Saccharomyces cerevisiae S288C: one gene and its partner. Changing the gene in region 1 together with any one later gene gives a genetic interaction. Each region holds a gene or a part of one and is shown in the gene's direction. Other genes may lie near its edges.

What was found.
Region 2: mutations in RTF1 (region 1) and VPS72 together harm fitness more than expected from each alone (negative genetic interaction), as found in Saccharomyces cerevisiae (6 studies listed by BioGRID, with this or other methods).

The regions. Positions count from the first base shown.
Region 1 is NC_001139.9:39,498-43,256, forward strand, and holds RTF1 (RNA polymerase-associated protein), read left to right. Parts: upstream 1-2,000; coding exon 2,001-3,677; downstream 3,678-3,759. Other genes in the region: glutamate--tRNA ligase GUS1, read left to right, coding at 1-1,652.
Region 2 is NC_001136.10:1,425,478-1,429,236, reverse strand, and holds the start of VPS72 (Vps72p), read left to right. Parts: upstream 1-2,029; coding exon 2,030-3,759. Other genes in the region: PAC11 (dynein intermediate chain), read left to right, coding at 1-49; 3,4-dihydroxy-2-butanone-4-phosphate synthase RIB3, read left to right, coding at 257-883; VPS60 (Vps60p), read left to right, coding at 1,117-1,806. UniProt on the Saccharomyces cerevisiae protein: Participates in the catalytic exchange of histone H2A for the H2A variant HTZ1, an euchromatin-specific factor, leading to chromatin remodeling and changes in transcription of targeted genes. Indirectly involved in vacuolar protein sorting.

The DNA.
Region 1 (3,759 bases):
TCGGCGAAGCTCACGATTTCTTGAGCAAATCTTTACTAGAATTAAAGAAAAGTGCTAATGTGGGTAAGAAGAAGGAAACTCACAAGGCTAACTTTGAAATTGATTTGCCAGATGCCAAAATGGGTGAAGTCGTCACTCGTTTCCCACCTGAACCTTCTGGATACTTACATATTGGACATGCCAAAGCTGCCTTGTTGAACCAATATTTTGCTCAAGCTTACAAGGGTAAGTTGATTATTAGATTCGATGACACCAACCCATCGAAGGAAAAGGAAGAATTCCAAGACTCTATTTTGGAAGATTTGGATTTATTAGGAATCAAGGGTGATAGAATAACCTACTCATCTGACTACTTCCAAGAAATGTACGACTACTGTGTTCAAATGATCAAGGATGGTAAAGCTTACTGTGACGACACTCCAACTGAAAAGATGAGAGAAGAACGTATGGATGGTGTTGCTTCTGCCAGAAGAGATCGTTCTGTTGAAGAGAACTTAAGAATTTTTACCGAAGAAATGAAAAACGGTACTGAAGAAGGTTTGAAGAACTGTGTTCGTGCCAAGATCGATTACAAGGCTTTGAACAAGACTCTAAGAGATCCTGTCATTTACAGATGTAATCTAACCCCTCACCACAGAACCGGATCAACTTGGAAGATCTACCCAACTTATGATTTCTGTGTCCCAATTGTTGATGCTATTGAAGGTGTTACCCACGCTTTACGTACCATTGAATATAGAGACCGTAACGCTCAATATGATTGGATGTTACAAGCTTTGCGTTTGAGAAAAGTCCATATTTGGGATTTCGCTCGTATCAATTTCGTTAGAACCTTGTTGTCTAAGAGAAAGTTACAATGGATGGTTGACAAGGACTTGGTCGGAAATTGGGACGATCCAAGGTTCCCAACTGTCAGGGGTGTGAGAAGAAGAGGTATGACTGTCGAAGGTTTGAGGAACTTCGTCTTATCCCAAGGTCCATCCAGAAATGTCATTAACTTGGAATGGAACTTGATCTGGGCTTTCAACAAGAAGGTCATTGATCCAATTGCTCCAAGACACACTGCTATCGTCAACCCAGTTAAAATCCACTTGGAAGGCTCCGAAGCTCCACAAGAACCAAAGATTGAAATGAAACCAAAACACAAGAAAAACCCAGCTGTGGGCGAAAAGAAAGTCATTTACTACAAAGACATTGTTGTCGACAAAGATGATGCTGACGTCATCAATGTTGATGAAGAAGTCACTTTAATGGACTGGGGTAATGTCATTATTACTAAAAAGAATGACGATGGTTCTATGGTTGCCAAATTGAATTTGGAAGGTGATTTCAAAAAGACCAAGCACAAGTTGACTTGGTTAGCTGATACTAAAGATGTCGTCCCTGTTGATTTAGTTGACTTCGACCATTTGATTACCAAGGACAGATTGGAAGAAGACGAAAGTTTCGAAGATTTCTTGACTCCTCAAACAGAATTCCACACGGATGCCATTGCTGACTTGAATGTTAAGGATATGAAGATTGGTGATATCATCCAATTCGAAAGAAAGGGCTACTACAGATTGGATGCTTTACCCAAGGATGGTAAGCCATATGTCTTTTTTACCATCCCAGATGGTAAATCTGTCAACAAGTATGGTGCAAAGAAATAAGCATCACATAAGTAATGTATATACATATTTATGTTATTTCTCAACCAGTACCTTTTGAACAATATCTTTTATAAGTGAATGGTTTGCTTTCTGAACCAGTCCTGTGTTCGCTGCCTTGAATCATGTAAGGATAGCAGCTTATGACATGTATGTCTACCTATAGAACTTTGACTGTAAAAGTTTATCATCCATTACCCGGTTTTGTAATTTTGACAATTTATATTTTATTGAAATTGGTTCAAATAGTGACTACGAGCTGGAAGGAAAATATTCAAAGTTACAAAAGGTACTTGAAGGATACCAAAGTTTGTAATTGTATTGCACTAATTTGTTGAGAGCACTATAGAAATGTCTGATTTAGATGAGGATTTATTAGCCTTGGCTGGTGCCGATGAATCCGAAGAAGAAGATCAAGTTTTGACAACTACATCTGCCAAAAGGGCAAAAAACAACGACCAATCTCTTTCCAAGAAAAGGAGAATTGAAGTCGGCAGTGTAGAGGATGATGATGAGGAGGACGATTATAACCCTTACTCTGTAGGAAATGCAGACTACGGTTCCGAAGAAGAAGAAGAAGCTAATCCTTTTCCCTTGGAAGGAAAGTACAAGGATGAGAGCGACAGAGAGCACCTGGAATCCTTACCTGAAATGGAACGTGAGACTCTATTATTTGAAAGATCTCAAATCATGCAGAAGTACCAGGAGAGGAAACTTTTTAGAGCACGTGGAAGAGATATGAAGGAACAACAACAGAGAGCCAAGAACGACGAAGATTCCAGAAAGACCAGAGCTTCCACTAGATCAACCCATGCTACTGGGCATTCTGATATCAAGGCTTCAAAACTTTCGCAATTAAAGAAACAAAGAGCGAGGAAAAACCGTCACTACAGCGATAATGAAGACGAAGACGATGAGGAAGATTACAGGGAAGAAGACTACAAGGACGATGAAGGGAGTGAATACGGGGATGATGAAGAATACAATCCTTTTGATAGAAGGGATACATACGACAAAAGAGAAGAAGTGGAGTGGGCTGAAGAGGAGGACGAGCAAGACAGAGAGCCTGAGATTTCTGATTTCAACAAACTAAGGATCGGTCGTTCATTTGTCGCAAAATTTTGTTTTTATCCCGGGTTTGAAGATGCAGTCAAAGGTTGTTATGGGAGAGTCAATGTTGGCACAGATAAACGTACCGGCAAAACTTCTTACCGTATGGTGAGAATTGAGAGAGTTTTCTTGCAAAAACCTTACAATATGGGTAAGTTCTATACTAACCAGTATTTCGGTGTTACCCAAGGTAAAGACAGAAAGGTTTTTCAAATGAATTATTTTAGTGATGGTTTGTTTGCCGAAGACGAATACCAAAGGTATCTCAGGGCATTGGATAATTCGCAAATGATTAAACCTTCTTTACATTCTTTGAGTAACAAAACGAAAGAGGTTATGGATTTTGTCAATACACCATTGACTGATAAAACTACAGATGAGGTTGTTCGCCATAGGATGCAATTCAATAAAAAACTATCTGGTACGAATGCAGTCTTGGAGAAAACTGTATTGAGAGAAAAATTGCAATATGCCAAGGAGACTAATAATGAAAAGGACATTGCAAAATACTCTGCTCAGTTAAGAAACTTTGAGAAACGAATGTCTGTATACGAGAAGCATCATGAAAATGACCAATCTGACATTAAAAAACTAGGCGAGTTGACCTCTAAGAATAGAAAATTGAATATGAGTAACATCAGAAATGCAGAGCATGTGAAAAAAGAAGACAGTAATAACTTTGATTCAAAGAGCGATCCTTTCAGCAGGCTAAAAACCAGGACCAAAGTTTACTATCAGGAGATACAAAAGGAAGAAAACGCAAAAGCTAAAGAAATTGCACAACAAGAGAAGCTACAAGAAGATAAAGATGCTAAAGATAAGCGTGAGAAAGAGCTACTTGTGGCACAATTCAGGCGCCTTGGTGGGTTGGAGCGCATGGTTGGTGAATTGGATATCAAATTTGACCTTAAGTTTTAGTAGGCAGGACAATTTCAGTGTTTGTAAAAATATATTTATATTTATATATTTAAATATACTAAATAAAAATAATACTATCATC
Region 2 (3,759 bases), on another chromosome or scaffold:
GGCTTTCGATGCTAAGACGTCCCTCTACACGGCCACTGTTATCTCCTAACGCCGCTTCGAGGCGGGTGAGCATAGGTTATTGCCTGATGAGTAATTTCTTAGCGAGAATTGATAAAAAAAAGCAAGGCTATTATTAATATACGTGCTATTGTGAAATTTTCATTGGCGTATATATGTGAGGTGAATGTAAATATCTCCAACAAAAAGCAGAAGGCTAAAAAAAAGGAAAGGAAAAGAAGAAAAGGCAACGTCGAAAATGTTTACACCAATTGATCAAGCTATAGAACACTTCAAGCAGAATAAGTTTGTAATTGTTATGGACGATGCCGGTCGTGAAAATGAAGGTGATCTTATTTGCGCTGCTGAAAATGTCAGCACTGAACAAATGGCCTTTCTTGTACGCCATTCCTCAGGCTACGTCTGTGCACCTATGACGAATGCCATTGCTGATAAGTTGGACCTTCCACTACTGAGAACAGGCATGAAGTTTGAATCCAATGATGACGACAGGCATGGAACTGCATACACAATAACTGTAGATGTAGCCCAAGGCACTACCACAGGTATTTCTGCTCACGACAGGTCGATGACTTGTAGGGCTCTTGCAGACTCTTCCTCTACGCCAAAATCATTTTTAAAACCAGGGCACATCTGTCCCTTGAGAGCCGCTGATGGCGGTGTTTTGCAGAGAAGAGGCCACACTGAGGCCGGTGTCGATTTGTGTAAACTAAGTGGACTAAGTCCCGTCGCTGTTATTGGCGAATTGGTTAACGATGACGAACAAGGAACTATGATGAGATTAAATGACTGCCAAGCGTTTGGTAAGAAACATGGCATTCCTTTGATCTCCATCGAAGAATTGGCCCAATATTTGAAGAAATAATCTGGTGAACATTTTCTCCATTCATTCTATCACAACAGACTCACACATATATACATGTATATATTTGTAACTTTGTATATATCTTTTGTTTTTTGACCTTTTTCTTCCTCTATGTTTTTCAGCCATACAAAAATATGGGATTTTTAGCAAGAGAAAAAGTACATCTAAAAAAAGTAGTAATAGGAGGAAGCCAAGATTGGTTGAAACACAGTTATAAACTCTTCAAGGCAATTATGAACAGGATTTTCGGATATGGGAACAAAAAGAGCCATGATCAGCTCTTACAAGAGTCGAATCAGTCCATGAATCAGGCCCAACAATCACTATCGAACAGAATATCCCAGTTAGATACTCAAATCGCCCAGTTAAACTTCCAGCTGCAAAATATTCAAAAGAATTTGCAAAGATCAAACAACAAGCAACCCTCGTTAAGAAAACAGGCTTTGAAGATTTTAAATAAACGTAAACAGTTAGAAAATATGAAGGATTCTTTAGATTCTCAATCCTGGTCCATGACGCAAGCCCAGTTAACAAATGATAACTTACAGAACACAATGATCACTATAAACGCACTAAAGCAAACAAACAATGCCATGAAGGCTCAATACGGCAAGATAAATATCGACAAACTACAGGACATGCAGGATGAGATGCTGGATTTAATAGAACAAGGGGATGAGCTGCAAGAAGTCTTGGCAATGAATAATAACAGTGGCGAGCTCGACGACATTAGTGATGCAGAGCTGGATGCAGAGCTGGATGCTCTGGCACAAGAGGATTTCACTTTGCCAACCAGCGAAAACTCATTAGGTAACGATATGCCCAGTTACTTACTAGGTGCGAATGCGCCACCGGCTTTTATTGATGAAGAGCCAAACTTAGATACTGAAGACAAAAATAAAGCTTTAGAAAGCGCTCAGTGAAAACAAAAAGCACACAAAGTTGCATATTCAGAATTTTTCTCTCCTTTCCCTTTTCTTTATATTCTCTTTGCTGGTAAGCCAAAATATGTACCTTATTTAGGTTTTAGTAGTTTTCTTTTTTCTTTGTTAAAAAAATCCTGATGGAAAAAACAGTAAGCAGAAAGCACCATGTAGTCTAATGAATACAAATAGAAGTGAAACCGAAGCAAATTCACAGTGCACGATGAGTGATGAAGGTGCTGATAAAAGTCTAGATACTAACACAGAATTTATTATACAAACACGATCTAGGAGGTCTAATGCCGGTAATAAATTACAAAAACTATTGGAGCAGGAGCTAAGAGATATAGAATCTACCAAAAGACAAATTTCTTCCTATAAGAATGGTAATGATGATGAAGAAGATGAAATAGGGCTGTTGTTTCAGGAAGATGAAGATGATGAAGATTTCGAAATGATGGCAAAAGATGACGATGATGAAGGGGAAGAAAAAGAAGATGAGACTCAAAGTATAAGGAAAGAGCCCTCTCAGGCTTCAAGTGAGCAAGCAGCCGATGACTTAATGTTCAGCAGTAGCGAATCTGAGGACTCCAGCAACGAGAATGATGAAGATGCAGAGGAAAAGGAAATACGAAGACAAGAACTACTTTCAAGAAAGAAAAGAAACAAGAGATTACAGAAGGGTCCCGTTGTAATCAAAAAACAAAAACCTAAGCCTAAGTCAGGAGAAGCTATACCAAGATCGCACCATACCCATGAACAATTAAACGCAGAGACGTTACTATTAAATACAAGGAGAACTTCTAAAAGATCATCGGTAATGGAAAACACGATGAAAGTTTATGAGAAATTGTCTAAAGCTGAAAAAAAGAGAAAAATTATACAAGAAAGAATAAGGAAACACAAGGAGCAGGAGTCTCAGCATATGCTGACACAAGAAGAGAGGCTACGGATTGCCAAGGAGACTGAGAAGCTGAATATTTTGTCACTGGATAAGTTCAAGGAACAAGAAGTTTGGAAAAAGGAGAATCGTCTAGCTTTGCAGAAAAGACAAAAGCAGAAATTCCAGCCAAATGAGACTATACTGCAATTTTTATCTACTGCTTGGCTAATGACGCCAGCGATGGAGTTAGAAGATCGTAAATATTGGCAGGAACAATTGAATAAACGTGATAAGAAGAAGAAAAAATATCCGAGGAAGCCAAAGAAGAATTTAAATCTCGGAAAACAGGACGCATCAGATGATAAAAAGCGGGAGAGTGAAGAATCGATAAAGAACGATGGCGACGTGAATTCTTTGGGTGAGAATTCTTCATCTGTACACAACCAGAAAAGGATTGAGGAAACTTCTACTAACGATACAGTTGAAGGAGAATCGAGTCCAGATGCAGCGGTGAGTAGAGTAAATTCAGACGAATTAAAGCCAACAGCATTACCTGATGTTACATTGGACGCAATTGCAAACAAGCAGAGTACCGTTGATGAAGCTCCCAACAGCCAACCACAAAAGAATATAATAACTAATGAGCAAAAAATTACCAATGTAGGCGAACCGATACAAAATTTACATAATGAAGAAATTAAAGATGAAATGGTAAGTGCTCTCGAGAGCAGGGAAAATACTTTTGAAAACTCATCACCTGCTGCCCAAGTGGTCTCACAAAGGGATAATTCTGCAACACCTACACCATCAAACTCCACTGGCACTGAAGATACTATATTGATCTCTCCGGATACGGATATAAAAGGAGAGCCTGAACCTTGTCTGAAAACCGAAGGCATCGAGAACTTATCTCATAATGTACCACAAGAGACCAAAAGCAATACTGATGTTTCTTTCTTGAAACAAGTAACGTTTACCGACCATCCGCAAGTGGCCATAATCGATACTGAAGAGTCACCCTCAAAAAAAGATACAGCTAATGTTGATGAATCTTCCGCGGAAAACTCTTT